Linked DNA regions of Arabidopsis thaliana. The protein of the gene in region 1 interacts with the protein of each later gene in a pairwise test. Each region holds a gene or a part of one and is shown on either strand. Other genes may lie near its edges. The genes, in order: LAP6 and ACOS5.

What was found.
Region 2: the proteins of LAP6 (region 1) and ACOS5 interact in binary tests that used the Arabidopsis thaliana proteins (3 or more experiments, as listed by UniProt).

Annotation. Positions count from the first base shown.
Region 1 is NC_003070.9:353,388-369,255, forward strand, and holds LAP6 (Chalcone and stilbene synthase family protein), read right to left. Parts: upstream 7,360-15,868; 5' UTR 7,055-7,359; coding exon 6,853-7,054; intron 6,763-6,852; coding exon 5,777-6,762; 3' UTR 5,730-5,776; downstream 1-5,729. Other genes in the region: AT1G02020 (nitroreductase family protein), read right to left, coding at 1-1,458; AT1G02030 (C2H2-like zinc finger protein), read right to left, coding at 1,998-2,801; AT1G02040 (C2H2-type zinc finger family protein), read right to left, coding at 4,717-5,691; AT1G02060 (Tetratricopeptide repeat (TPR)-like superfamily protein), read right to left, coding at 7,531-9,663; SPL8 (squamosa promoter binding protein-like 8), read left to right, coding at 12,238-12,938, 13,336-13,472, 13,599-13,762; AT1G02067 (uncharacterized protein), read right to left, coding at 13,558-13,779. UniProt on the Arabidopsis thaliana protein: Plant type III polyketide synthases (PKSs) that catalyzes the condensation of malonyl-CoA units with various CoA ester starter molecules to generate a diverse array of natural products including long-chain alkyl alpha-pyrones.
Region 2 is NC_003070.9:23,301,194-23,317,535, reverse strand, and holds ACOS5 (acyl-CoA synthetase 5), read right to left. Parts: upstream 7,005-16,342; 5' UTR 6,983-7,004; coding exon 6,899-6,982; intron 6,785-6,898; coding exon 6,455-6,784; intron 6,247-6,454; coding exon 5,668-6,246; intron 5,580-5,667; coding exon 5,235-5,579; intron 5,151-5,234; coding exon 5,083-5,150; intron 5,012-5,082; coding exon 4,789-5,011; 3' UTR 4,741-4,788; downstream 1-4,740. Other genes in the region: AT1G62950 (leucine-rich repeat transmembrane protein kinase family protein), read right to left, coding at 1-978, 1,074-2,242; AT1G62935 (uncharacterized protein), read left to right, coding at 8,126-8,656; RPF3 (Tetratricopeptide repeat (TPR)-like superfamily protein), read right to left, coding at 9,113-11,002; AT1G62920 (proteasome maturation factor), read right to left, coding at 11,162-11,221, 11,327-11,486, 11,742-11,808, 12,243-12,515, 12,766-12,856, 13,092-13,223; AT1G62915 (uncharacterized protein), read left to right, coding at 13,558-13,603, 13,649-13,779, 14,089-14,295; AT1G62914 (pentatricopeptide (PPR) repeat-containing protein), read right to left, coding at 14,374-15,960. UniProt on the Arabidopsis thaliana protein: Carboxylate--CoA ligase that may use 4-coumarate as substrate.

The DNA.
Region 1 (15,868 bases):
GACTAGGAGATACAGTCCCTTAGGCAAACCCGAAACTCTGTGAACAAACAAGGCAAGATGAACCTCAGCAGTATCCCAAGGAAGAGCTCGAAACGGCAGCGCAAGTTGCTCTTTTTGGGACTCGCCTGTGGAAGGAAGACAGTGCATCAGCATCTGGTAAAACGAAGACATGTCTATACAAGTAACAGCGTCCATATCAACAGCACTTCTTCTCGTCCTTACAACTTGCCTCACCGTTAACTTATTATATGAACTGTGGCTAAACAGAGCACGACTGCTTGTGAAGGAAGCAACATCAATTGAAGAAGAAGAGGTGGAGTAGATCAATGGAGGCTTTTCTACAGCCTTGGCTGTCCTGTAGATGATATCCCAACACAAATGCTCTTTGCTCAGAGTATTGGGGTTTCCAGTCCATTCTAGGCTTGGGAAGTCTCTAAGGGCAGAGCTAATTGCGAGGTAGTCTAAGTTGAGATGTTCTCTACTAGTTCCGTTGGGGAAAACAAGGAGTAAGCAGTCAGGATGCTCGAATTCAATCTCAGGGAGCTCAGCTTTACCTTTACCTTCAGGTAACTGAAATTCGGGGAGACCCATAAGCCTCTTGAGATCATCAGCTCCGAAAGCGTCGAGAAGCTTCAAGTCCCAGCCTAGGTCTGCGGCTGCAATGGAGAGAGCGGCAATGGCGTGGCCGACGTCGTGGTTACAGTAACGAAACGCTCGTTCTCCGTACTTCCAAGCTTCACGCCAGAAAATTGAAGAAATTCCGATGAGAAAAGAATTCTCCGGGAAGAAGTTGGGGAAAAAGGAAGAGGGGATGTGAGCTCTAACCTCCAAAGAATGCTCTTTGGGAGCATAGTGGGAGACGAAAGCGGATTGGGAGAGGGAAGGGATGGGAGGAGCAATGAGATAGGCCTCGGTGGGATGCAAGTTACCGCTGCTGGGGTTGACGCGGAGGGGCCACGTGGAGGATCCGGTGGTCTTCCAGGCGGAGAGAGCGAGAGAATGGTAGAAAAGGTGAGAGATTGTAGGAAGAGAGATGGGTTTGGGCGGAGGAAGCGAGTCGAATAGAGTAGAGTAGAGAGGAGAGTCGGAGTCGTCGTCGATGTCGTGATTGGGGTGTTGGAGAGGAAGAAGAGGAGCAGAGAGGTACCGGCGGAAGGGATTAGGCTGATTGGCCCAGTCGAGACCACGAGGACCTCTCGCGTAACCGTTCAAGGAGTGCTTCGTCTGGTTGTGGTACTTGAGGACCAATTCAAGCGAAGAGGAGGAATCGTCCTTGTTAGGGTTTTCCACAGAAGAAGAAGAAGAAGAAGAAGAAGAAGAAGAAGAGAAGGTCATGGCGAAGATAAAGGCACTTTTTGGTGTTCGAGGAATGGAGAGAAGAGAGGTCGAAGACGCGAACCTCCACGAAATCGTCGGATTCATCATTGCTTCTCCTTTCCTCTGTCTGGGATTCGACATCTCAAAACCAGAAACCAACGGATCTTTGTACCGGGACGGTTCAGATATGGATGGACCGGTTAAGGGATAACCAAAATTGCCTGTGATTTCTCTCTGTGACTTGGGGAACAACTCCACTGCAATTACACCTTTGTTTTCTTTCCTTTTTTTAAAGAAGAAGAAGAAAGTGCAATCTAAAGGCGTGACTCGTTAGAGCTTTTTTGTTGTCCAAAAGTTACGGTGGTCTCTCTGTCTCTTAGTCGGCAAAATTCCCTCTTTAAGAGTATATAAGTAATTTTGGGTATTCTTTTTTTATTTCATTGGCATAACGAAACACACGACTTGAGCAACAACAAACCACGTCACTCGATCACGCTTTCATGCTTTACCATTTTCCCACACAAATCGACTACTATCACATGATTTCCCTCATTACCTAACTCACTTGTGTTCTTTGACCACATCAAAATTTGTCCTCAATACGTACACTTGGAGAATTTTACTACATTACTTGGAATCAAAGGTGGTAATTACTATAGTTTGACCAATCTGATCAAGCATTAAAAAACCGACGAGGCCATCTCTTCCTCCTCCGATGGCGCTGGGAGATTTAGATCTATCAAGCTAATTATTATTCCTGATCTTCTCGTGAATTCATTATTAGCGGAAGCGTGAGATCTTTTGTGACCTCCGAGAGCTTGACCAGATGTGAAGACTTTGGCACAGATTGGACATTCATGGTGACTACTAGTACTCTTCTTCTTCTTCTTCTTCAACTCATCTGAGCCTAATTGATCTGTTTCTGCTATCTTCTTCTTGTGGCTTGCTCTGTGTCCCCCTAACGCCTGATACGACTTAAACACTTTCTCGCAAGTCTCGCACTCGAACCACTTATTCCTCTTCTTCTTCCATCTCTCTTCATCACTTTCCTCTTCCTCCTTCTCCCACTTGTCTCTCGACAGCAACATGAGACTCAAGGCCACGTCTTCTTCCGTTGTTGCAGCGTCCGACACCGAACTCATCGGTTCCTGCTCCGTACACGACTCACTGAGTTCTTGAACCCCGATCTTGATATCTGCTGCTCTTGCGGTTTCACTTTTCCCTTCTTCGTTGGATTGTTGATGACGTAATGATGAGATGGATCTCCGGTTAAGTCTGGATCGTTTGCGGGAGGGCTTCTTGGACGACTCGGTTTCACTCTCTCTGTCCTGAAGAACAAACCCTGGATCAGCCATGGAAGACGAATATGACTCGGGCTGACTGGGGAGAGGGTGAATGAGCATGTGAGACCTCATGTGACCTCCCAAAGCCCTTCCATTAGCGAAGCTCTTCCAACATAACTTGCACTTATGCCTCTCTTCCATTTCCTCAATTTACCAAAACAGAGCAGAAATAGAAGAAAAAGGAGAGAGAGAGAGAGGGAGAATATAAGAAGAAGAAGAAGAAGAAGTCGGAGTAGGTTACAAGCACTCTTCCACCAACACTTAAGCTAATATACGAAGTCCCAACAACAAGTTAATGTTTTCTTTTTAAGGAAAAGAATTAATGGGATACTTAAGAATATCAACGAAAGCAGTTTACTTTCTTTTTTAATATCAGAAACGGCTAAATAAAAGACCTGTCTGTTGTGTAAACATAAATACAAATAAGCCTCTAAATATATATAATTATCAGTTATGTTTTTCTTATTTTATTGACAGATTGAGCCAAAAAAAAAGAAAAAAAAAAGAGTATTGAATGATGAAGTGAAGAGCCGTTGATCAAACATGTAACATGCGATCTCACACCTTTATTCCTCCACGCTGACTTTTTTTCTCCTCTAATTTTTCAAATACACTCTTCTACTAGCCCAAAAATACTAGTATGTAAATAGTAAATACTAGTATGTAACTGAAAATTTCAATACTTTGTTGATTAGAAAAGAGTTTGTGGATGAGGGTATTCATTTTGGTAAAGTTGCAAACAAAAACCGTTGAGGTTTTGTTGTAACGACTAAACAACACTAGCACTGGCCCCTCTATTTCTAACTTTACCAAATTTTAATGATTCTGTGACAAATACACCAACTCTCCTTAAATCATAGGTTGACACGTGTGACTAAACTGCTGACTTCCCGCATCGTATAGTTAGTGCTATCTTTGACTCTCATACTCACACGCCCTTTTGGTGTTGACTCACCTCTTGTCATTTATTTGGATGAAATTTCAATATAAGAATCTAAATTTCATTACTCTACAAATTTCTACTAACAAAAATATTTTCCCAAGCATGTCTAAATAATTTTAACCTTATCTCGTTGAGACGTTATTACCTCATACTAGACCAAAATTTCCTTGTATCAATAGCGTGCAACTCTTGTACGTGTCTATATGTGTCAATTGTTGTTAAAGTACATGTCCTCAAGTTAATTGATTAAAGATCTTTTGAGTGGCCCAAAGAGTCATATACTTTGCTTGAGCTTTTCTCAAAGAGAAATTGGAGGATATCAGTTGACATTAATCAAATTCCCCCCGCTAATCCTAGTTTTCAGCTGATGGTTGGTGGGCTTCCTAAAGTCAAAAGTTCATAACTTGTAATGGCAACCACTCATTAATAACATATATGCGAGATAAAAATGACTCTTTTCTTGTAATCGTATTGAGAGAAATGACCCTTTCCTTGCAATCGGTGCTTAATTAAGAACCACCAAAATTATCAATTCCGTTGAGGCGTTGACTCATGTTCATGTGTTTTCAGTGTAGTAAGAGCCTTTTGATTATTAACATGATTAAAATATATATGGGCATATCACGAGAGTTATTTGATACGTGATATTCGTTTATTTATTTGATATTTTTCTTCTTTGTGATTTCTTAATTTCGAATTTACAATTTCTTTTCTGGAAAACTTCAAAATTATATCTCCTTCTTGATGGCTTAACAAGTAAATTATATCACTCTGTAAGATTACAAACATGAAATTAAAACATTTGCGCTTATATGAGCAAGGAGCCCTTGGTTATCTTACTTTATTCTCAACGTATATAATAATAAAAAATGATACAATTATCTATCTTGTATATTAACTAGTTGTGAAACTTAATTTCTTACTTATATCTTTGTATATATTGGACTAGAACTCCTTATGGCTCTCTAAATCTGCAGAAGACGCCAAGTGTAATTCATATAAATCCATAAACTCTATATATAAACTCATGCACTTAATTGTATATATGTAAAGAATATAAACGAATGAAAGTTAAAAGAATATAATTAGCAACTTAATTAAATTAGTCAGTCGTCAAGACCAATCACCACTTGCGAGTTTTAACCACGAAGATGAAGTAGCGTTGTGATTATTGCCACCACCATCTCTCTCGATCATCCCTACGCTCATGGCCGTTGGATCGACGGAATATTCTTGGCAAGCTAAGTTGAGATCGAGAGATGGTTGATCTAACGGCTGCGGTCTGCCGACGGAATGATGATGATCGTGGAGCGACGTCATACGAAGATAATTGGAAGGTGTTAGCCAATGGCATCGCTTGTGGCCTCCTAAGGCCTGTCCCGAAGAGAAGACGCGATGGCAGATGGTGCATTCGTGAGCGTTGGATCTCTTTCTTGCGATATGAGCCGTTGATTTGTCTTCCTCATCCTCCTCCTCATCTTCGTCCTCGTCGTTGTCGTCGTCGTCTTCTTTGTATTCCTCTTCCTCTTCCTCTTCTTTATCTTGAGAGGCAAAACAACCCTTCACTTTCTTGTGGCTTGCCCTGTGTCCACCCAATGCCTGATGCGACGTGAACACCTTCTTGCAAGCTTTGCATTGGAAAACCTGGGCGGTTTTTTGCTTTTTGACGGTTTTGCCCTTACCATGTCCATGTTGTTTATGCTGATCACCACCATGCGCATCCCCTGAATTGGACAACAAGACAAGACAGTTGGCAAGCTCTTCGTCTTCGTTTGGAGACAAGTTAAGATGATGATGCTGAGTGGACATCGATCTCTCCCTCTTCCACGGAGGACGACGTGACATGTTGTCCTCATCGTGTTGTCCACGACTGAACATTACGAAATCAATGCATGGTGAGTTCATGGCTCCATGCATGTGTGTGTTCAAAGTGTTTTGGTGTGAATTAAAAAGAAGAAAGCCCTTGTTTTTAGTGGAAGTAACGGGTTTGGTGTCTTCTTGTTCATGTGGTTCCAAGTAGCTAAGCACTTGCTTTAACGACACGTGGTGCAACTTTTGACTTTTTCCAACATTCCTAGTCACATGCATCTATTCTATATAGATGTTGTTTAACAAATAATACTCTCATTTCATGCTTACAATATGTTTATAACCCAAATGTAAATTATAACAATTAGGAAGAGGTGAGGCTGCGGATGAGAAGGCCTTCGAAGGTGATTCCAGGTCCGAAAGCTAAGCCAAGTCCCCACTCTTGTGCTGCGTCACCTTTCTTCTTCAGCTCATCTCTCATATACTCCATCACATACAGTATCGTGTTGCTGCTCACGTTCCCGTAATCCACCAACGCCCTTCTGCTGCTCTCCAGCTTCTCTTTCTCCAGCTTCAGTTTTGTCTCCAGACGGTTCAGAATCGCAGGTCCTCCTGGATGAACAGCCCAGAACATGTCATTGAACTCCATCGACTCATCGCCAGCCTTTCCCATCAGCTTCTTGCAGAACTCTTCTATGTTCTCCTCTATCTTCTGCGGGAGGTCTCGTCCAAGCTTGAAGTTTATGCCTTCCTCAGTCAACCTCCCCTCGATCACGTTCTGTGTCCCCGGCAAGAACTGCTGAACCGCATAGTGCAGCTCCATGAAAGGAGCTTCACACTCTCTCGGGTCAGCTCCGATGATCACAGCAGCTGCACCATCTCCAAACAGAGCAGCTCCAACTAGGTCGTACGGACGCGCTTTGTTTGGTGGCCGAAATCCGAGAATGGTGGTTTCAGAGGTTGTGAGCAGAACACGGCTTCCGGGGTTGTTCTCAGCAATGTCTTTGGCCACACGGAGGCCAGTCACACCTCCGTAGCATCCCAGAAAATACAGCATCACTCTGTTCACGTCATTCCTCAGGCCTAGCTTTGCTGAGAGGTAAAGGTCACCACCGGGTAAACGGATCTCGCTTGAGGAAACGTAGACAATGTGAGTGATGTCTTCCACTGGCCTTCCCCATTCCTTGATGCAACCTAAACTGGCTTCCAATGCCATTTCCACAACCGCCTCGTTTGCAATTTCAAGTCTTTGCTTGATTGTTGGTGAACCCTCTGTTGTTAGCTCAGGGTATTTAGCCAGTATCTCTCGCGTCAACACAGTGTATCGCGTCTTCACGGTTGTCGTTTTGCCTAAACAACAGCACAAAACATTAGAAAGCTTTCAGCATTTCACAAGAGAGCATAGCTGTCTGAAAAAAATATAAAGAGACTGAGGCTTACACAAGTGTTCCAGCTTTTCTTTGATAAACGCGTCATCACATTTGGTGTCTCGTAGAAATCCTTCCACTAGATTCTCCTGAGGAACGACTTGGCTTGGGAAGGCTTTGCCAAGAGCAAGCAGTGTTGCCTTTCCGGCATTTGCGACACGCCTTGTGGATTTGCTGCTTAGCTTCTCAACACCATTCATCCTAGAATTCGACATTTCTTTTCAAGCGCAGAAGGAAAAAACTCAATTAGATATTGGGAAGAAAGATGGTGGATGCAGAATATCAGCAAATGGCAAAGGATTATAAAGGAAGGGTTGAGGGTTTTCTTGGGGAGAGTTTGGTGCTGAAGAGTGAAGATCATGTAAAGAGAGAAACGGTTATTTTATTAGGGTTTGGTGATTCTTTGGCCTGTGTTGGTTAGAAATGCAAAAAACACCATGAAACCTATTTTCCCGGGATAAGTAATATAAGCCTAATCTACTTAGGAAATAGGTACCATGAAGGTGAAAGTTAGGAACAGAGAGTTGCAACGTCCATAGAGACCTGTAACAGACACGATGAATACAAACTTGCTTAATTGCTGAGGGCCAAAAATTTTACAATTGCCAATGGATAATTTTAGACACAGAATTGAAAACGGAACAAAGAGAGAGGATCCTGTTTACCAGAAACCAGATGCACGGTCTATCCTTCATTCTAATACAGAGCAATCATCTGATTCTCTCAATGTAGCCATCCTCTTTGACACAAACTGAAGTTCTTCCCACTTTCCAGCAGCCTCTAAGGCATTCCTCAAAACCACGTGGCAGCTAAGCTGTTGGTGGTTTCCTAGTTCTACTAATTCATTGTACAAACTAAACGCTTCAGAGTGTCTCTTATGCTTACAGAGTCCTTCTATGACCGTGTTGCATGTGTCGATATCTACCATTTGACTTTTTTCCAGACAAAACAGAACAAGTGTATGTGCATCAAGTAGTTTTCTATTCTCGCAGAGGTAACCAAGTAATTCCTCCATCTTAACCAAATACCCGTTATCATAAAGCAACCTAACAATCAGAAATGCCTTCTCTTTCTGTGCACTACTAAAAAGCAATCTGACAACCTGCGTTGAAAGATCAATGTTCTGTCTTATTCGTTTTTCCAACATTAGCGTTACCAAGCAGAAAGACTCGTTAGCAAATTTCCTTTTCGCAAGTTCTGCAAGTACAGAATGGAAAGTGGTTGCAACAGGAAGATAAGAGCTCCTTAGCATCCTTTGTAGGGTATCGTGAGCAAGAAGAGCTTCACCTATCTTCAACAGTCCATCAATCAATAACTCGTAAGTTTCAAGATCAGGTACAAATTCCCGCCTGAGCATTAGAACCAACAGCTCATAAGCAGGCTTGAATTTACCTTCTCTGCAGTGACCCGTTATCAAAGTCTTGTAAGAGGGCGGATCTTGCACTCCTCTTTTCATCAGCTGCCTGAAAACTTTCTCCGCTTGTTTTGTTTTCCCATTGGCACATAAGTATTCAAACATTGGGTTATAAGCTGCAGCGAGAGGCTTGCATTCATCCTTACCTAACAATACTTCCTTCTCAAATAACTCATTGAACAATGTCTCAGCTCTATCAAATTCGTTTCTCATGCACAGAGTACGAATCAAAACACTATAAGAAGCTGAATCAGGATGCAACTTCATATTCAGCATTTCTTGGAACACCTTCATCGCTGCATCCAAATGACCAGCATCGCAGTGGGCTTTGATCAAAATATTAAAAGTGCAGGCATCTGGAGCGAAAGTGGTAAATGCGTCGTTCCCTCCAATCAAGATATCTTTGATCTCATCATATCTGTGAGCCTCAGAGAGCCCCTTGATCAGAGTATTGTAAGTAACAGCATTGGGTTTCAGCCCTCTACTCAGCATGTCATGAAACACAAGCACTGCTTCATCAATTTCCTGCTTCATACAATAGCCTCGCACCAGAGTAGTGTAACTAACAACGTTGGGATGCACATCGGTTGCTTTCTTCAACATTCCACTCAAAACATTATGTGCAATCTTGACCTTGCCGGCTCTGCATAACCCATCGATGATCGTGTTATATGTAACAACGTCAGGATTGCAATGATACAGCTCCATATCCTTAAAAATCCTAAAGGCTTCATCGACCATGGAGTTCTTACAAAACCCATTTATCAATGTATTGAAAGTATAGGAGTCTGGGGTAACCCCGTAGGTACGACGCATTTCGTCGAACAAGTCATGGGCCATTCCAGTTCTGCCACGCTTGAGCAAAATGGAGAGAAGACTGTTGAAGGTAAGAACGGAAGGGGAGATGCCCATCTGCTTCATGGTCTGGAACAGCTTCACTGACTCCTGGAAGAGCCCAGCGTTCCCGTAGCTCCTAATCAAGCTGTTGAAGTAGCGATCCTGGAGCTTGACGCAGCCATTAGACCTTCTCTCGATGGAGAACAAGAAATTGCGAGCCACATTGAGATTGCGAGCTCGACCGAGGAACTCTAACATGAGGAAGAAAGACTGCTCTTTGTGAGAAAACCCCTTGTTGGAAACCCAGTCAAAGAACCGGAGACCATCCGCAGGGACCTTGATGAGACGCAGGGTTTGGAGAACGGTGGTTCTGGAGATGGTTTGGGACGGATGAAGAGATGATAGTGAAGACTCGAGTTCGTCCGACCACGGGTTAGAGTTCACGGCACGGGCCAAGGACCTGGCGAGTTTTGATTTGGTGGACCTTTCTTCATTGGTAACTTTGGCGGCTCGGAGAACTGGTTGAGACTTGGAGACAAACAAAGCATGGAGTTTAGGTACAGAAGATACCATTGCAGAAGAAAGTTGCCGCGAAATATGGCGGCACACGTCCGCCGCTCCTCCACCCCTTCCGGCGGACCAAGAGAACAAACCCTTTCTTCTTCATTCTATAACTCTCTAAGGCCCAATCTAAATGGGCTCCTCTTTGTTCTAGATAACTTTACTTTAGGCCCAATTATAGAGGTGGCCCCGACACAATATTTTGTTTTGTTTTAAACTTTAAAAAAAAAAGGAGAAGAAGCAACAGCATATAATTAAGTCCTAGCTATTAATCATCATCCATAGCATATCAGTAAGTTTTTGAAGATAGATTGTTTGATTGCATACAGATTTTAAAATAATGTTAAACCCTGAAGTAAACTTGTAACTGCACCAACACAAGACGTGGTGTATGGATGATCTACTACATTCCGTTTCCCTTTCATTGGGAATCAATTTGCGGACTAGTTTAAAACAATCGCATATGCATAATACTTGCGCAGTAATTAGGGAAGAAAGGAGGTGGGGGTAATGAGTGAGAAAGTGCAATAAGTGGGTATCTCTCAAATTAAGAGAGAGATGTTGACAAGGCAACAAGTTTGGTGTAACATTATCCTCCTCCTTTTATTTTGCCTTTTTCTCTATTTTTATATATATGCACAGTCTTTTTTACTCTTAATAAAATACACTGTTAATTCCTCGGATACCAACGGAATCGGTTGAATAAATTATGGATGTTACAGTATACACACTATGTAGGGACTTCTTAATTTATTTTGGTATAGTTAGAAAGATAGCTTATCGTTAGAGCGATTGAGAGCTTTTCATTATAATTAGGAGTTAGTTTACTTTAATTGTGATAACTGCCTTAGTAGATACATAAGTACACTATCAATTGACTACTTTGAGTGAATTAAAAAAGCCTCCTAACAGCGTACTATATGTACATCAGAATAAGTTGTAGTAGGAGCAGCATTCCTATTTTCAATATTGTACACTGTATTAAAACAAAAACAAAAAAGTAGAAGACAGGATTATGCATATAAATATATATCCCAGAACCAAATATGAAAATAGAAAATTTGGTTTTCGGGTTTATAATTTGTTTTAGAAAAAAAAAAAAGAGAGAGAGAGAGGGGCAAGGATAATAGAGACAGGAGTCCGTACGGTTTCGGGGGTCAACGTCGATGGCAGCCTTTGAGCACCTAAAAATAGGGGACCCACGCCATTACCAATTACAAAACCTCACTCTCTCGTCTATGCTCAGCTAACCCTACTCTCTTCCCTGTGCTGCCACGTGATCACCATCCGATTAATCGGGACCGTTCGATTAAGTAGAGATAGCAGCGCGTGAGGTAGAGAAAGAAGAGAGAGAGAGAGTTGGCGAATAATAGTAATTTGTTGTTTGGGGGTGAGTGGGTGTACGTTAGCAAGATACGATCGGTCATTCTGTCTTCCCTAAAACGATCAACCTCCAACTTGCTACCTATTTACACTTTTGCCATCCTGTCTTTCGAAACCCCAACACCGTTTTTGCCTCTTATCTCTCTCTCTTTTTTGGCCTTTTCCTCCTTTTTTTTTTGTGGTTAATTGAAATAGATATTTTATTTCTCTCTATTCTTAAAAAAAACCACGTATAAACTTGTAACTGACTACGATGATTTATCTCATTCTCATATCTTATTTATCGCTAGTAAAAAAGAAAACAAATGTAAGAGAGAGGCCCAGCAGGGGAACAGAAGCGGGTCCCGACATAATTAAATAAGTGTAGAACAAACGCGTTTTTTACTCTTCTTTTTCCTTAACCACACGATCACCACCAATACTAGCTAGACCCTTTTCTTTCTTTTTTTTTAAAGTCCTGCGGGGGCTATATATGTATCATCCATATATACAATACGCTGTTAAAAAATAACATAGTAAGAGTCTGTCTATACATACTTGTGTGTTTAATTTGTTTGTCAAACAAAAGTTCAATTAGAGGCTCCATCAACAGTTGCTAAGTAGTGAGTTACGTTTTTTCGATATTCAAATTAATCCTACGTAGGTACTACTAAGATTACAAATTAGAAAGCTTTGAAAAATACTAGTAGTAAAAAGGGGCAGATGATTGGTAAATAATAATTTAAATTGTTTTTAGTAAAAAAGGGCACAGACACTCACACACACACTGCTTTCACGACCCATGTGAGTTTTCTTTCTTCTCCATCTTCACTTTTTTAAGTAGCTAGATGACAAGACAGACAGCTATCTCTCTTTTTTTTTTACGAAGAAGAAGATCAAAAAAAAAATGAATTTTAAAAAGGGACCTTTAAGAGAGATGGTGGGAGAGAGAGCAATAGAGAGAGAAGGAAATCCACCCCCACAAATAGAAAGTTAGGGTTTATTGGAAAAAAAGAAAGAGAGTGTGTCTCTGTGTGTGATTCTAATAGAGGTGTAGTACGTCGCTTTGCTTTCAGTCCATTAAAACCATTCCATAACCTATTCCGCACCGACATGTCTCCTCCCCCTTTCCTTTATTAGCCTCTCTCTCTCTTTTTCACTACTCCGTCTTGATTTTATAAACAAAAGAAAGAAAGAGAGAGAGATCTTCCTCGGGATTGCAACATGTTGGACTACGAATGGGATAATCCTTCCTCCATCGTTCTCTCCGGAGATGAAAGAAACCCGGACTCTGACCCGACCCGGTCATCCTTCTCCTTTTTCGACCCCATCTCCCATTACAACAACGACCACCGTCACATCACCATTTCTCCTCCCCTCCTCTCTTCCTTCTCTAACCAACAACAACAGCATCACCTCACCCTCTACGGTCAGACCAACAGCAACAACCAGTTTCTTCATCATCACCATCACCACCACTCCTTGTACGGGTCCACCACCACCACCACTCCTTACGGCGCCTCCGATCCCATCTACCATCCCCACTCTTCCGCTCCGCCAGCCTCCTTGTTCTCCTACGACCAGACAGGACCGGGCTCGGGATCCGGATCTTCCTACAACTTCCTCATCCCCAAGACAGAAGTGGATTTCACGTCCAACAGGATCGGGCTGAACCTGGGAGGCCGTACGTACTTCTCAGCGGCGGACGACGACTTCGTGAGCAGGCTATACAGGAGGTCTCGACCAGGTGAGTCAGGGATGGCGAACTCGCTGAGCACGCCGCGGTGCCAAGCAGAGGGATGCAACGCGGATCTGAGCCACGCGAAACACTACCACAGAAGGCACAAAGTGTGCGAATTCCACTCAAAAGCATCGACGGTTGTAGCCGCCGGACTAAGCCAAAGGTTTTGCCAGCAATGCAGCAGGTTTGTGCCCCCTAAAGTTGCCACCTTTGACCTTTTTTAAATAAATAAAAAAATACTATAGCTGTGGGGTTTCGGCTATCTTCTCTTCTCTTCGTCCGTACATCCTTAATCTTGTTCTATCTTAGTTTTTAGATCTTCTTTGGATCTCCTTTTTTTTCATTAGTTAGTTAGCTTCCCTTTTTGTTTATTAATTAATTTACAATCACTGCTAAAGGATCGACACAATCATTGAGAGGGTTCGTACTGTGTGGTGTGGGGGATCCCGATATGGCTTTCTCTCGTCCTTTCCAACCAAATCATTTTAGCCCTAACTAACCAACCAAACTCTTATCACTAATTCTCCATCTCATCATCATCATCTGATTTATACATATATATATCGAAATAATCAATACAGGTTCCATTTGCTGTCGGAATTCGACAACGGGAAACGGAGCTGCCGTAAGCGACTTGCTGACCATAACCGCCGCCGCCGTAAATGTCACCAATCAGCCTCCGCCACCCAAGACACCGGCACCGGCAAGACTACTCCAAGTACGTACTTAATTCTCTTATCATATATATATATATATATATATCCTCTTTCAAATTAAGATAATCTCTAGATATATGTGTGCATTTAATTAATAAATGGGAATATGTGATGATGATGATGACCAGAGTCACCGAACGATTCGGGTGTTAAAGCGTCATCGTCACCGTCGTCCAACGCGCCGCCTACGATATCACTGGAGTGCTTCCGGCAAAGGCAGTTCCAAACGACAGCGTCTTCATCCACGTCAGCGTCTTCGTCTTCAAATTCAATGTTTTTCTCCAGCGGATAGTTATAAGCTTTACTCATATGATATATTATGCTTAAAATGAGAAATCAAAGGACTCTTCAATATCACTAGTTAATGCTAGCTGTCTATCATCTGAATTAGTCGGTAATGTGTAACGTTTTATTTCATGTCTCTCGTTTCGTTTGTCGTTTTCATATTGTTTTTGACTTAGTAGAGGTTTATTTAATTAACCAACAACATATCAGATTTCTGATTCTATTATCAATATCTCCTTACAAAAATAACAATTTTCAAAAGATGTCTTCAAAAGAAAAAAAGAAAGAAATTGAAAGTGTGATTGATATATTATTGCTGGTAAAAGCAAAGACCGGGGAGAGTACTCGTGCATGGTGGTTCGTTCATCGTTTATTCATTTCGGGGAACTGAATTATTGACTCTCTCTCTCTCTCTCTGTCTGCTGTCTGATGCTGAGCTGCTGGAATTTTCCTATAAAACTACAAGAAACCAATATTTTAGAAAGTGACCGATCAATGTACGTCCACGTGGTTTTACCGTCTTTTAAAAACAAAATAATATAAAGAAATACAGTAGTATTAGGTTGTTGTTGTCCCCCATTTTGAAGCTAAAAATCATACAATTTTTTTGTCAAATTAAATCAGTATCCCCACCGAGATTAATAATTTGCACTTTGATCGGTTGTGATATTAGTAAATGCTTGTCTACCCCACAACGGATGGATGATATAGGAGACGTTGACAAAATTAAGCGATTTTCCAAGCTAGTACCAAGTAGTAGTATATATGCTCCGCGTTACTTGATTTTTGTTACTTGCCAAAATTCATGATAAAACAATTGCTATGATGAAATAAAAAGAGCCGATCTGAGTATTGTTTGTTGCATATGTATATTCATTCCTCCCCTTGCTATTGTTATGCCGTAAGAACTCAACGAGGACTTTGCCATTGGTTCCCCTGATTCCAGCTGGGTGGGTCCATCGTTTTGCACACGTGTCATATTTGGGTTGGATTTTTTGGCAAAGTGGTTGGGTCTGCGAGCTAATTTTCATCAGAGCGCTGCACCCACACGTGATCATTTTCTGGCACTAACCTCCCGGTACGGTGTGGTGGGGATGCATCAAAATAAAGGCCCAAATGCATGGCCCAACCATTTATAACACTACACACACTCGTATACTATCTATTTATTATCCCTTCCTTTTCACTAATTAGGCCACGGATCAAATTGATGAATGATATTCCGAAGACTAGGGCTCTCTGATTATGGACCGCCCCACTCGCATCTCCTATGTAGTTTACGTATTAGTAGATTTATGTCAATTATATGTGTATGCATATGTCGCTGTTACATAAAGTCCTATGTTTTATTATACAACCTAAGTTATCTAACTCTTTGCCGTGACAGGGATCGGACTGTCCACATTCATGTAATTTATTCATGTCCCGCCCTATTTATTTTTGTTAATTGAATTGAACCAACTCATTTTTATTTCTATATATCCACTAAATAAATAAAATGAACAGACAAGAAAGAAAAAGCGTTGTGGTGCTGAAAAGTCAATGATTACAGACAAATGTGGAGGAGACTTGTATCATTTTATTTATCATCCAAGGACTTTGGGAAGAGAGTATCCAAAGTCTTAGCATTATACAACTGCTTCAATCATTACGTCACCACGTGTACGACTATATATTATCACTTTCTCATTTCATCTCATGTGTATATCTCAATCTTATTATAAGAATCACGACACAAAATAAAAAGTTTAGCAATAGCCTATATATACAAGTAAAAAATGTTCTAACAAATGCAAAGCATAGTGTTATGTAGAAAAGATGATCAAATCAATAGTTTGATGTGTCCCTCGAGGACTTGACTTCAGTAAAATATATGAATTTTATTCAGTCTAATTTTTGTGGATGTTCGATAACATTTACATGCATTTTTAAAGGAACGCCTAAAAAAAGATTGTTACAAAATAAATGTGCAAGCTTTTAAGTTGTTACACCTAGTATTTGCGAGCATTAAATCCGTAGTTTCATTATAAAACTATACATCAAATAACCATAGTATATAACAATATAATGGTGATGGATGATATACTACTTTCTTACATTTTAAAAATTGATT
Region 2 (16,342 bases), about 23 Mb from region 1:
ACTGCTATTTGAAATCTTCTATGCCAATTTAACTCGGTGTTTCCATGGCTGCTGCTGCTACTGCTAGTTCTATGGGAGACTCTCGGGTGTAGATTATCGTACAAGCTTCCGTTTGTGACAAATTCAGAAAGAATTAACTGCATTGTGGAGGAAAAGTAGTAACCTTGAAAAGAAGCAAGATTCGGGTGACTTAAACTTCCAAGCCTTCCTATTTCTTGCTCAAACTCTTCTTGGTTTCTGATTCTACCTAGAGTCTCGAGCTTTTTCACTGCGATGGAAACCCCGCCTTCGAAAGATGCTCTATAAACCGCTCCAATTGATCCAATACCGATAATGTTATCCTTGTCGAGCAATGCTTTCGTACCTGCCTCCCAATCTTCATATTTTGAAGGCAAACTCTTGCTGAATAGAACAAGTTTCCCAAATGTTACACCACCATTACCAGATTCCGTTGAAGCCTGAGTGGGTGTTGTGGTATCAAAAGTGACTATTTCTTCTTCACGCTTTTTCCGTCTTTTACGAGCTCTAAGGTTCAAGACAAGCACTAGACAGATACCAACCAAGATCGCAGCAGCAGCGATGATAACAATGATAACAGAGGTGCTTAGAGCTTTGGTTTTTCTTGATCTTGATCCGGTTCTGAGAGCATTGCACGGTGTTTCAAGAGGATCACCGCAGAGGAAAGGGTTGTTGGAAAACGAAGAAGCTCCCGAAGCTTGAATCTTTGGGATAATGCCGGAGAGGTTGTTGTAAGAAACATTGAAATGAGTCAGTCTTTTCAAATTCTCGAGGGAAGACGGGATAGGACCAGAAAGCAAATTCTCTGAAAGATCGAGGAACTGGATTCTCGAGAGGCTCCCGAGATTAGGCGGAATGTTTCCACTGATTCGGTTCCGATGCAGATCAAGAATCTCTAAGTTTGTTAAGTTCAATAGATTCTTAGGGATCTCTCCTTCCAAACCATTTCCAGAAACATCTCTACAACAAACAACAAAGATTAACAAAACTAAAAAGTTAGATAAACGAATCAAAAACTCACTAAATATCAGCATAGAAGAGATACAAAGACTCACAGTTCAAGAAGTAGTCTGCAGTTTGATAAATCCTCTGGTATTTCACCAACGAGATTGAGATTATGCAAATTCAAAACCTGTAGATACTCAAGATTTCCGAGCTCAAGTGGTAGCTTCCCATCTATAAAGTTATCGCCTAACCTGATCACAGAGAGCTTCTCCATCTTCCCCATACCTACAGGTACACTCCCATTGAGCCTATTCGATTCCAAGTCCAAAAGCTTAAGACTTTTGCATCCGGTTATACCGCTAGGTACATTACCAGTTAACTCATTCGAAGAAGCATCCAAAAACTCCAAACTTTCACTACAATCAACAATCTCACCAATCTCCCCTCTAAACCGGTTTCCAGACACATTAAAATAAGTCAGGTTCTTGAATCCAATAACCTCGAAAGACGCTACTCCATCGAAAGAATTGCTTCCTATATCGACATGACTCAATCTCTTACACTTCGATATCTCCTCAAACACATCACCAGACAACAAATTTCTTCTAACAGATACAAACTCAAGAACCGGAATATCGCAGATCCGAGGCAACAAACCGGTAATGCCATTGTAAGAGAAATCGAAACCAATGAGATTGTTACAGTTTACGATTGATTCAGGGATTGATCCTGAGAGATTGTTATGAGACAATGAAACAAACTTTGTCTTGTAACAGAATTTAAACAGAGAATTTGGAATCTCTCCAAAGAACGCATTTTTCGACAAATCCAAGAACCTTAAATTAGGCAAATCACCGATAAATTCAGGAACCAAACCAGACAATGCATTGGAACTAACATTGATCTTCCATAAAGTCTGTAACTTTAAGTAATCCAAAGGTAAATTACCTGTAATCCTGTTGCCAAACAGAGTCAAAACCCTTAAAGAAGTTAAACCAGACAATGCCGGCGTTAGGGTTCCGGCGAGACTAGTGTTCCAAAGAACGATCTTTTCGACGAATCCTTCTTGGTTACAAGATACACCATTGAAGCTGTTACAGAGGTCAGCATTAGAGACCCAAGAAGCTAAACTGTTGTACGGATCATCGTTGATGTTGTCTTTGAATTGAAGTAGAATCTCTCGTTCGGTAATAATAGAATCCGAGAAACTTCGAGATGATGTAATAATAATGTGAACGAATATGAACATTATTACCCAAATCAATTTCCCAATCTGCATTTGCGGTTATCGGATCCTAAACCGAACTCAAACCCGGTTAAGCTATTTCGTTAACAATTTCTTGATAAACGAAGAAGAAGAAGAACAAAAGCATGAAGAAGTAGCTGCATTTGCCTCGAGAAGAGAGTTTCAAGAAACATAGAATAAGATCTGGGTATTACCAGTCATAAGTTTCCGAACCAAACCCATTAATTTCTGGACACAAATCTATATAGAGAGAGATTTGAGAAAAGATGAGTGCGTGGAGAGTGTGCCTTGGCTGGAAAGTAAGTAAAGCAGGTGAAGCAATTTAATAGTCTGTCTCTTCTGCAGCAAAAGGTTTGGTTTTGTTTCCTCTCTCTCTCTGTCTCTCTATATACATCTGTGGCTTCCACCATGTGAACAAGAACCACGTGCAAGCTTATGTGTGTGTAAGTAAGTGTGTGTAATTTAAGAGTGGGAGAAGAAGGTGTCTGTTTGTCTTGTACCATCAAGCATTTATTCTTTGTTGCCTACACCAATCAAACCCTTCCATCAATGTATTTCAGAAACTATAAATAAGATAAAATAAATTTTTATGTATAATTTGATCATGTTTGTGATTCTACAGTTTTTAAGTTATTTATGAATGATACGAAATGTAGATTTTTTTAATCAAAAATTCTAAAAATATTATCTAATTATAGAATTAGTTTTCAAATTAATGATATTTCGCAAAACAAGTCTAACATTGTGAATTTGATTAAGTGATATCAATATTATTGTATATAGCTTTTGATTGCATAGAAATGTTGTATATACAATAGTTCATAGAGAGTCTATACAAATTGGTATTGTATAAACCAGTCTTAGATTTTCCGTTTAGTGGCTTCTGGTTTAGACCTTTATCAATTGTATATAAAACCTTAATTGTATTATTTATTATTTAATGAGAATAAGATTATTTTACCGAAAAATCTTATAAAAAACCTTCAAAGTAGCAACAACTTACACTTTAAAAACTTTCAAGATTTTGAACTCTCACAATAAACCATCAAAATAAAAAAATTGTTACTTTAAACCTTCAAAGTGGTTTTCGTATTCCCACAAAAATGGTTTTCGAATTCGTAATCCCACAAAAATTAATGGATAAATTAAATTTCTCACCCTTTATTTTCCGGTTTTGTAGACTTCTTCCATACAAAAGTTTAAAATCTATAAGGAAAAGCTTTTTCTGTTCTTTGTTTTGCTAGAAATTGGCGGAACTAATTATTTGAACATCCCAAAATGAACTCAACTAATATAAAAACATACACCAAAAGACAAACTTAAATATAGTGAACATCACTTAATTAAAGTGATACCTGACACGGAAGGAGTATGTAATACTAGTAAATGTTTAAAGATTTATCAAATAATCCCTTTAGGTCGGAAACCTAGAACAGTGCAGTAAATTCAAAATTACTCATATTAAAAAAAAAAACTATGCTTGAACAACAACAAAACTTCATTCCAAAGTTTCTTGTCAAAAAAGAGTTCAATTCCCAATTATGCCTTTTGTCGGATTTTTCTTTATAAATCTTTAGTTTTGTCCAAGCAACTGAGTACTATTTATAATCACTGTCGATTTCTTAGTGTAAATTCCTAGATACATCAATATTGCACTGTGAGTCTTTGAATCACTGAATCATAAATCCATAAAAGACTTAAAATGTTCTCTAATCTTCAGTATTTAATACCCCGTTGTCTTTTATTTGTATGAATTTATAATATGACCGTTGATTAAGTACGGTACTGTTTATATTTGTATATTTCGAAACATCAAAGTCTGACTACTGTTCCTAAGATTCTCTAGATTCTTCAAGTCTGACATAAAACAGAAGTACTAGGTGTTTGACCAATGCCCACAATTACAAAAAATGTTACTTCGATATAATCTGAATCTTGGAAAAAAATAAATATCTAAAGCATGCATACAAATATACAATTGAAATTTCATACATTTTCCCTGGTCTAGTGAGTATTGAAGTACTGAAGTAGTTATACATTGGAGAAAGTGAGAAAGTTGAATAAAAGAAAAGTAAAGTGAAAGACGATAAATTCTCCATCCTTGAGCTATTTCAAGTTTCAACTAGACAACTATTATCTTGGTTATATAATAAGGAACTATGAAGATTAAAAATTGAGAATTAGATTAGTACGATATCTTTGGTGATAGAGTTTATGTCCTATATTTTAGGAGTTTGTGTTTATATCTTGTTGAGTTCATTGTGAATAAATACTCATAGTTTGCGAATTAATGAAAGTAAGTCAGTTCAATATCTAATTCTACAGTATAACTTTTTACAGCATGAGAAAGCAGCGTGTTTTTGCGGTTTAAAATTGTTGTTCCGTGAGTTATATCAATGTTTTGATTAAAATCTTTCGAGGAGATAGTTTAATCTTTTTAGTTGTTGCGCGGTGCAGAATTGAACTGTAGAATTTCCTAATCAAGGAGCAATAATAAAAACCACAAAGAGTATTTATTGTTCAAGGACATTCTTAAATCAAAGTAGATTAATTAAAAGCTTGTAAGAGTTTTCTTTCTTCTACTTCTTGTTGATGCTGAGGATCTTGTCTCTAAGAAGCCTCCTCATGATTTTACCAGAGAGAGATTTAGGGATTGAATCCACAAAATGGACGGCTCTAACCTTCTTGTAATGAGCCACATTTGCTGCAACAAAGTTGAGAATGTCTTCTTCCTTTTCTGTCGCTTTCGGATTTATCACCACGCAAGCCGCCGGAATCTCCCCGGCTTCCTCGTCCGGTAACCTTTTCATTTCATGTTTTAATATATCAGTTTCAAGAAATCATTAGGGCAATATATTTATATAGATACTCACGGCACGACGGCAACGTCTTCAACGGATGGATGAGTGAGTAGAATAGCTTCAAGCTCGGCCGGAGCAACCTATTGGAAAAGCTTCAACTTTGAAAATCCGGCCAATATGAAACAAGGAAGAATTATGTTTAATCTTTGGTATAAACATTTTACCTGAAAACCTTTGTATTTAATAAGTTCTTTGATACGATCAACGATGAAGATGTCTCCATCATCATCGATGTAACCTATGTCTCCTGTGTGAAGCCAACCTTGTTCATCAATTGTCTTGTCAGTCTCTTCCTTGTTCATGAAGTAACCTTGCATTACACATTGGCTCCTCACACATAGCTCACCAGAAGTGTTCTTCGGGAGTGATCTACCGGTGTCAGGATCTATGAACTTTACCTCGAGATTCGGAAGTATGAAACCAACCGAGTTTCGTTTCGCGATTCCTTGTCCTTTCTCTGGATCTCCGTGAGTTAACGTAATGCAACTATGCTCCGTTAATCCATAAGCCTAATATATATATATATATATAACCAATCAAAACATCATTGAACATGAATAATAAGGTAATAACTAACATAAAAGTCTTAAGTCTTACCTCTTGGACTTGGACATTAGGAAACTTGGCTTCGAAGGCAGTAAGAAGCTCAGGAGCTAAAGGAGCAGCAGCAGTCATGACAGACTGAAGTTTAAGCTTCGAAAGATCAAACTCATCAACTATCGGATTCTTAACAAGATTCAATATAATCGGCGGAACTATAGGCGCAAACGAAACCTCATGAGCAATCAAAGCATTCAAGAAAATCCTTAGATCGTACCGACTCATAGCAACAACTTTGCCTTTATTCTTCATTGTAGCACAACATATGCCAACGATACCGTAAATATGAAAGAATGGGATCAAACCAAGCGTCACGATCTGACCGATCATTTCAGACCTGACACCGAAGAGAGTAGAGCAAAGATTGGCTATGAGATTGCGATGTGTGAGCATTACTCCTTTTTGTAATCCTGTTGTTCCTGAAGAAAAAGGAAGTGCACAAAGATCTGTCTGAAGAATCTCTTCATTGTCGGTATCTCCGCATTTGTCTCCTGCTTCTAGAAGATCTTTCCAGTTTACTGCTCCTTCTATCTTCTCTTCACCTAACACTATCACCGGTAAACCTAGTGATTTCACCTGTCCAAAACAAACAGTAAATGTTTCACAAATAAATCGAGTTTGGTGATTGGTTGGTTTAGTTCAGCTTGGCTGTGGAATTATGTCGGTTTGGTTTTTAGTCTATACCATATATTGCAGCAACCAAACCGAACGAAATTATCATGTGCATACATTTGCTGGTTAAAAAGTTTTCCAAATCATATAGAAAACAGTAATGTTTAATTACCTTTTCATAGTTAGTAGCATCAGTGATGATTCCTCTAGCACCGGAAGCTTCAACTTGCTTCTTGATCTCGGAAACAAGAGCCGTCGGATTTGCACCGGAGAAGACTCCACCGGCAGACATAATACCAAGGGCAATAATCCCATACTCGGCGACGTTTGGTAGGACCACAACCATCACTTGACCTTTCCTTAGTCCGAGAGATGTCAACGCTTTGGCTAGCCTCTTTGTGTCCCTCACTACATCACCGTACGTCACAGCTTTTCCGGTCACCGCTTCTACAAACGCTACATTCTCTGTGTATTCTTCAACTCCTTGGAGCACAAATTCAGGCTTTTTTCACATAGCCATTAGTTAATTCCATTAGTATTTATAAACCGAATCTTAACCTAAATTATAATAAACCGAAACCGGAAATGAAAAACTGTTCTTAGCTATATTAATTACCAGTGTAAGTTTGTCAGGAATGGGCACAGATGGATACAAACTGCGGAAAATGTATTCATTATCTTCTTGCTTTTGACTCTCCATTTTTAAACGAATTGAATTTGATTTATGTGTTAGGAACAGGGCCGGCTCTAGAGTGAATATAAATAGGAGAGTAGTTTCTTGTTCATGTCATGTCATGTGTGTGCAAACCAATTTTTGGTTATAGAAGAGGATGATAGTCTTTGACTCTCTTAGACATATTGTAGGTAGAGTTTTGTTGAGTCATGGAAATGATGTGAAAATATCTGAATTTATTATTTATGGAGTCCAATAAAAAAACATCTTCAAAAGTATTTTGTTCATACAAATTAATGTATTCTTTCTTAAACATTCTCTACTACGATCATATTACCGAGATTATAAATACAAAGTTTTCTTGTACTACTTATAAAAGAAACTATATTGTAATGTTTTATCAATGACTTTTAAAAGGTTAAGGTCTCATTTCTAAATGTCACGCGTACGTCATGATTCTAGAACGTGAAATATTGGATTTTCTCAACTTAGAAGCGAGAATGGATTATTCGATTTCACGTGAGTTGGCTTAAGGATTCAATTCCTTTGGAGATGCATGGTAGAAAAGGTTTGATCTAGATGAAATGTACGTAGAAAATGTGGTATGATTAGAATTTTGAATCTTACTTTATTCTTGATTTGGAAGATTTTATACAATGGTGGGGATTTAAGGGTTTAGGTCCTATAAATAGGTTGTGCAAAGTTCTTCAATACGAATTATTATTGTTATTGGCATGTTCATACTTTGATGATCTTAGAGTAAGGATCACAAAAACCTTAAATTAAACTACACCATATTTTTTATATTCTCATCTACATATATAGATTTAAATATTAGAAAAACATACTTTTAAAATGAGATAAATGACATACTTGTTACAATCATAACTTAAAAACTCATTGTGTCCCACTTCAAGAATCGTAAACTTCTCTCTCAAGAACATATATATTAATACTAAAGGTACACATACACAAATTCTTAGAACTTGCGCAGCAAGAAACAGACATGTGTACAACACATCCTTAGAATATTAAAACCTTTATTTTATATATGTTAAGTTTTACAATAACTTCACACAACAGACTTTTTCCACTCATTATCTCAGCAGAATTCATGGTTTTTTCCCGGAAAGTTACTCTTTTATTGATATAGATAGAGTCCAGATGAAGATGTTGAACATTATAATCAATGTCATGGAGATCATCTGGAGAACAATTGTTTCAACACTAATGCTCTTTTTCTTCTTGAGATATTTCAACAATCCTCTTCTTCTTTTCTTTTTCCTCTGTACGATTCTTTTCTTACTTATCATCGATCGTAATCGCTCTGTTTATGAAGAAACCGGAGATTTCTATGTTTTGTACACTTTTCAAGAAGACAATATGCTTGATGGTGAAATCATAGACAAGAACAGAGAATGTTGTGATTTCACAAGATATTACTATGATGATTGTTTTAGCTATTATGATGGTTTTGATGAAGTTGATAATGATGGTTGTATATGGAACGATGATGAAGATTTTAGCCAATGTAATCAAGATGGTGGTGATGATGGTATTGAAAACCGTGATGATGATGATAATCATGCCTATGGTGATGATGTTGATGATGACACATTGACGAGCAGGATTGAAGATTACATTGCAAACGTTTACAATGGATGGAGAGAAGAGAGACGAACCGACAAATTGTTTGTCTGATCTTTTCAAAACTCTGTTTTTCTCTCTGTAGTCTGTACATATGAAGAAATTGTTGTCGTGTGGTACATAAATTTGGTGTGTTAATGTGTTTCTTCAGCGCCGTTTATGACTGATGGATCTGCTATTTCATCGATCAATCAGTCGAATAAGGAGCGTGGTCTTTAAATTTCTTTGAACGTATGAACTTAACCAATCTGGAAGAATACTATTCAGGTGATAAATCATCGATTAGACAAGAAACAAATCTATATCAACATGAGAACATACTGACTGCAGAGAACTGTACCAGTCATGTCCACGAAACTTACACTCAACAACAACAAGAACAAATTTAACATGAAAACGGGTCCAGAAGTAAACACAAGAATAGCTATCTAAAAAAGGCGATTCACCTCACATATGCAATCACAAGGGAAGATGGTTGCTCCCCAATTCGTTTCTCGAGGATTGATTGTTTCAAGACAGCATTTCCAGATAGCTTTTTTCCAATCTCCCATCATGCAACATATTAATCACCATACTTATTGTTGAAGCATCTCCAACAAACCCGCAACTCCTCATTTCTTTGATGAGTTCAGCTGATGCTGCTTTGTCACCATCTCTAAGGCGTGCCCTAATCAGCGTATTATAGGTACCACTATTTGGAAGAGTCCCATCTTCTTTCATTTCTCTAAACAAGGCATCTGCTTCTTCCTTTAAACCTTTCCTACAAAATCCTGATATCATTGTAGTGTAAATTATTACATTAGGCTTCACTCCTTTAAGGCTGAGGCTACAAAATAGATCCCACCCATCTTCCACCTTCCCTGCCTTGCACATCCCTTCAATCATAATATTATATGTGTAAATATCAGGTTCCATTTTACTCTTTTGCAGATACTCGAATACCACCAATGCTTTCTCCAGCTTCCCATATTTACAGAGTCCATCTAACAGAATGCTGTATGTTATGATATCGGGAGGCACGCCATCAGATACCATCTTTTTGAATATTTTTTGAGCCATATCACAATCTCCAGCTTGAAATAACCCTTGGATAAGAGTGTTGTAAGTGACTGTGTTGCCAACCAATCCTCTTTGAGACATCTCGCGGAAGAGTTCCATACCTTCTTCTACTCTCTTAGCCTTACAAAATCCCTTTATAAGAGTATTGTAAGTCACTACGTTTGGGAAACAGTCCTTGCTAATCATCAACTCAAACATGTGCTTGGCCTCGTCTAAACGATCGTGCATACAAAACCCATTGATCAGTGAACTATAAGTGAAAATATCAGGATCTATAGACCTTTTGATCATCTCGTCGTACAATTTCTCAGCCTCTACAAGCTTCCCTTCCTTCACAAATGCATCAATCAATGCGCTGAAAGTGACTACATTTGGATTGATTTTCCTCTCAATCATATCACTGAGTAGTCGAGAAGCATCACTCCATCTTCCGTAATTACAAAGGCATCTTATGAGGGAGTTGTAGGTAACAACATTTGGTCTAATTCCTTTGTTATCCATTTCAGTGAACAGATTGAGTGCATCATTCACGTTTTTGTAGTTGCAAAGAGCATCAATGATAGTGGTGTAGATCACAACATCAGCCTCTATTTTCCCTTTCTCCATCTTCTTTAACAAACTCAAAGCCAAATCAATATCACCTCTCTTACATAATCCGTTTACTACGGTACCATAAGTAAATAGATCTGGTTGACACCCTCTGGCAACCATTCGATCAATTAAAGCCACTGCTTCGGAAGCTTTGTTGTGAAGAAAAAGCCCATGGATTAGAGTGTTAAATGTGACGGTATTGGGTTGATACTCCATTACGAACATTTGATCAACCAAAGCTACAGCCTCGGATATCCTCTTACCGTGGCAGTACCCATTGAGGAGCGAAGAAAGCGTGACAATATCGGGCTCATAGCCGAGTTTCATCATCTTGCCAAGAACAGCTAAAGCAAGAGGGAGTTGAGAGCGTCGACAAAAACAGTTAATCAAAATATTGTACGAATAGAGGTCATATGAAATCCTCAGATTTTGCATCCGCTCGCCGAGAGAGATGACAAGATCAAACTTGTTCATCTTAGCAATGGCACTCAACAGTTTATTGAATTCAACAATGGAAGGTAAAGGACGAGACTGTACCATCTCACCGAACAGATCAACCGCATCATCTAGCTTCAAATCGAGCAACACATTTCTACTCAATTTCTCTCTGTAGTCATAACTCGCAGCAGAGAAATAGACACCTCGAAGGGAAAACAATGGAGAAGCTTTCCTCAGCTGAGCAAATCTCTTCGCCAAACTCATCTTCTTCGATTGTGATGCGACAATCCCTAAATGAACACAACTTGTCATTATTGTTTAACCTTGAAGACGGAGGGATCTCGCGTTTCTGCGCCGTTGGATCATTTTGGTAATTTTGACGGTCAAGATTTCTTCTTAAATATTCCAGTTTTAATAACCGACCGGTTCACTCTGACTTCTCTTCTCTGGTACGATTTGGTTTAATATTGTTCAGTTAATGTCTCTTTTGTTCAGGTTTATGAGCGTAGGTAAAGATGCCTCTTCACCTTGCTTTTCCATAAACAGAAACATTATCTCCATATTGTCAATACGAGAATCAGATAAATAAACCATTAGACGGAAGAACAACACTTGCAATTTTCAGTTTTAATAAACCTTGCTTTTATGAACATTTTTAAGAGTAAACTTTTCCTTGTCACCATCTCTAAGATGTGCCCTATTAAACTCTCTACTAAGAATTCCAAACTCGAGACAGACAGTGTGGTCTTTCGGGGAGAAGTCTACTCTGAAGTACTTCGGTGCGTTTCTACCGAGGCTGACCGGATTAGTCGATAGGATTTATCAAAAAAAAAAAAAGAACTCTCTACTAAGAAAAAGCCACTCTTTTAGATACGATGACTAAGAAAAGTTCAAAATCATTCTTTTAAATGTAGGAGATAAAAGAGCTCTTGCATTAAATACTTGTGAGGACATTGTAAGGAAGTTCTTCAAATTTGTACTCTTTCCATACAGGTAGAGCTAGCGTTCTGCTTATATTTGGCATTGGCACAAGCATGTTGAAGGACATAACTCAAGCTCTTCCTTCATAGAGCTCACCAAGTCCAGCCCTAACTTCACATCACTAGGCTCTGTTTCCGCTATTGACCTAAACACCTGATTTCAAAAATAAGATGCCAAGAGTTAAGAAAATAATACGTACCAGAAGTTTTTCCAAGATTTCGTCTACATATGAGAAAATTCTCGAGGTTATAATATATCATTAACAAAAATAAAAGTAAAAAGATCAGTACTGATGTCATCAATTATGAAAAGCTTAGTTACAAGGACAACTTACATGAGAAAACATATATTTCAAGGCACTAACAAAAAGTTATTGCGTTAAACACATAACACCTCTCATGGTCAGTAGCAGCTCAAAAAGGAACCGTGTAAATAAGAGAAGTTAAGAACATGAAACATCACAAGAAAATACATGGCTGTTCTAATATAAAATTATCTCATTCTGCACACTTGTCTAGCAACACCATGTTGATCTCACACTATCCAAATCAGCTATTTATATATTAGTCACCAGACTTATTGTTGAAGCTTTCGACAAGAGTTTTGGTCCCTGAACTTGATGACGGCGCTGCAAGGATCATTTCCCCAGCGTTAGGCTGCACAAACATACAAGTAGAGTCCAGTTTCAATACTTTGATGGCATTATAAAGTATAAACTGTTTTGACCTACAAGGAACTTGGTTAAGCTGGGCCTTTGGAGAGACTAACCCCAACTTCCATGACGTGGTGGTGGAAGTCAACTGGTTTGAGCATCTTGGATTCTCGAGGATCTGCGGAGTAGATACTACTTATCAGAACAACCCATAAAATGGTGAAACTAAGAAAAGAAACAAGTCTAAACAGTTTTTCTCTTATATACTCAAAGAGTTCAACTTTCTGCAAGACAAGGATGCTTGGTTTACACACTGCAAGTAGTATATGATAGTCACTATTTGAGCAATGACCATTGTAGAAGCAGACAAATATATAGGGTTTCTTTTTTTTTTGGTGTAAAACAGTCTAAAAAGTATGAGAAAGAGCTGTAAAACAATTACCATTCAAGTAATCCTCAAAATCAAAATCATCTATAGCTCCTGTGTAGACTTCAAGGTCAAGCATCAACGAGGGAATTGGGCCAGTTGGTCTCTGAAACCTGAATACTCCAGATAAATAGGTATATAGTAATTGCTTGATTCACCAAACTGAAGATGAGAATGCCCTATGTGAATATCTAAAACCCTATGTAGTCTACAAATGTAACCATTATGAAGTTTCATGTAAATTTCTAACTGACCAAATTTCAAAAGTCAGAAACAGCAACTGATCAAACCATATTTCAATCTTCACATTATGCTATAGAACCTAAGGAAGATTTTCATACATTCTCATATCTAATGGCAGAGTAAGCATCGGAATTCAAAGGAATTATTTCATAATGATACTGATCTAACATTCCATACCGAGGAAGAATCGGTCTATCAAGGTCCATCTTCAAAGGAAGAGCAGGCTCCATATGCATGCGTACTAACTTTCTTCTTCATTTCTTCTTGGGATTTCTTACCCTGAAATAAAATCCCTAATTTCAGAAATGAAGAAACCCCGTAAAACCAAAACTACTTCTCAAAATTTATGATAAAACAGAAATTTCTGGCAAGGGAAATTCAATCAATGAAATTGACGATGGGAACTATGCCATTGAACCATCTCTGCAAGTTCATAATTCAAGTACTAAACCTGGTACTACGTGTATGTTTGTCCAGCCACACACATGTTCATAATTCCACTAGGAACTACAAAAAACAACGATAGTAATTCAAGTTCAACACAAAAAAGAACGAACTGTTCCAATGTGCAATGAACTACACCATGGGAACATACTGACTGCATTGAGAAGTAATACTTGAACACTGAAATATCTTTCATTTGATGAGATTACAGCTGCTACACTCTCTCATATACTCACATTAGTTTGGATATCATCTTCTGAAACCGTCATTGAGCCTGCAAAACAAGAGTTCCCATGTGAAATGGAGTGCGATGCAGCTCCACCTGTTCAAAGACAGCTTCTGGTACATACATGATTCGCATCAGAACCATTTTCTTCTATAGGAGAAATTAACAATTTGCAAGTTTCCTAATGCACGAAACAAAGATAAAAGTTTCCAAATTTGATTAACATAATTGAGAATGTCTCGTTTATAAGATATGAACAATATTGGATACAGAAGATAAAAAACCAAATCACAACTCAAAATGTTCACTAAAACTTCAATGCTGGTTCACAGAAAGCTAATCAGGCATACTCATGAACATAAGGATTGTATTGACTATTGAGAAGTAATAACTTATTAAAAAAGGCTTACTCACTTCAAGGATAGTTTAGGAAAGCATTTCCAAAAAGCTTTTGTCCAATCTCCCCATACAACATATTAGTGACCAAGCCAAAGGTTGAAGCATCTCCAGCAAACCTGCAACTCCTCAATTCTTTGATGAGTTCAGCTGATGCTGCTTTGTCACCATTCTCTAAGATGGCATCTTATAGCAACCGCTATCTGGAAGAGTCCCATCTTCTTTCATATCTCTAAACAAGGCATCTGCTTCTTTGTTTAAACCTTTCCTACAAAATCCTGAGATCATTGTTGTGTAGGTTACAACATTAGGCTTCACTCCTTTAAGGCTGAGGCTACAAAATAGATCCCACCCATCTTCCACTTCCCTGCCTTGCACATCCCTTCAATCATAATATTATATGTGTAAATATCAGGTTCCATTGTACTCCTTTGCAGATACTCGAATACAACCATTGCTTTCGCTAGCTTCCCATTTTTACAAAGTCCATCTAACAGAATGTTGTATGTCAAAATATTGGGATGCACACCAACAGAAACCATCTGTTTGAAAACCATTTGGGCATTATCACAATCTCTAGCTTGAAAAAATCCATGGATAAGAGTGGTGTAAGTGACTGTGTTGCCAACCAATCCTCTTTGAGACATCTCGCGGAAGAGTTCCATACCTTTGTCTACTCTCTTAGCCTTACAAAATCCATTTATAAGCGTATTATAAGTGACTACGTTTGGTAGACAATCCTTCCTAATCATCAACTCAAGCATCTGCTTAGCCTCACCAAGGCGATCGAGCATACAAAACCCATTGATCAGTGAACTATAAGTGAAAATATTAGGATCTATGGACCTTTTGATCATCTCCTCGTACAATTTCTCAGCCTTTACAAGCTTCCCCTTCTTCACAAATGCATCAATCAATGCGCTGAAAGTGACTAAATTTGGATTGATTTTCCTCTCAATCATATCACTGAGTAGTCGAGAAGCATCACTCCATCTTCCGTAATTACAAAGGCAACTTATGAGGGAGCTGTAGGTGATAACATTTGGTCTAACTCCTTTGTTTTCCATTTCAGTGAACAAGTTGAGTGCATCATCCTCATGTCTATATTTGCAGAGACTATCTATGACTGTGCTGTAGATCACAACATTGGCCTCTATTTTCGCAGCTTCCATCTTGTTGAGCAGATTTAAAGCCAAATCAGTATCACCTCTCTTACATAATCCATTAACTACCGCACCATAAGTAACCAGATCTGGTTGACAGCCTCTTTGAACCATTCGATCAATTAAAGCCACTGCTTCTGAAGCTTTGTTGTGAAGAAAAAGTCCATGAATTAGAGTTGTGAATGTCACCGTATCGGGTTTATATCCCATTTCGACCATTTGATCAACCAAAGCTACGGCATCAGAAATCCTATTCCCGTGACAGAAACCATTGAGCAGCGAGTTAAGCGTGACAATATCGGGCTCATAGCCGAGTTTCATCATCTTGCCAAGAAGAGCTAAAGCAAGAGAGAGTCGAGAACATCGACAGAAACAGTTAATCAAAATATTGTAAGTATAGAGATTATGTGAAATTCCTAAAATCTCCATCTTCTCCCCGAAGGAGATGACAAGATCGAACTTGTTCATCTTAGCAATGGCACTCAACAGTTTACTGAACTCAATAATCGAAGGGAAAGGACGAGACTGTGCCATAACACCGAACAAACCAATTGCATCATCTAATTCAATATCACTCAGCCCAGTTCTAAGTACCTCTCTGTAATCATAACTAGTCTTACCAGAAAAAGCTCTTCTCCGGCAAAAGGAAAAAGAGAGAGGAAAAGTTGCAGCATTACCTCTCACCACAAGACTCCGATGAACAAATCTCTTCGCTGAAGATGATATTTTTGCAAGCATTCTCTCGATTTGGCTTCTCAATTTCTCTCTTAAATTTCGAGCTCTGCAAATAGAGAACAGATGTGATTCGTGCTTATCAGATTAGGGAATCGGAATTGAGCATGGTTTAGGTTGGTTTAACAAAATGTTAGATCCGGTTAAGCATAAAAAAAAGTTATCAGAAAATTTAATCATCTTTCGACTCTTCTTGGGTCATCTCTCATGCTCGATTCCTTCCTCGCAATAAGTCCGTATTCGTTTTGGGATTCATCTCGGTTTGTCTTTCAACTGCTTTAACGGACACATCTATTTTCTTTAGACTTCTTGGTAAGAATTAACATATAAGTACCTCTTTGTCTAGAATTTTTTGTTGTTTAATAAAATATCACATTACAACAAAAAC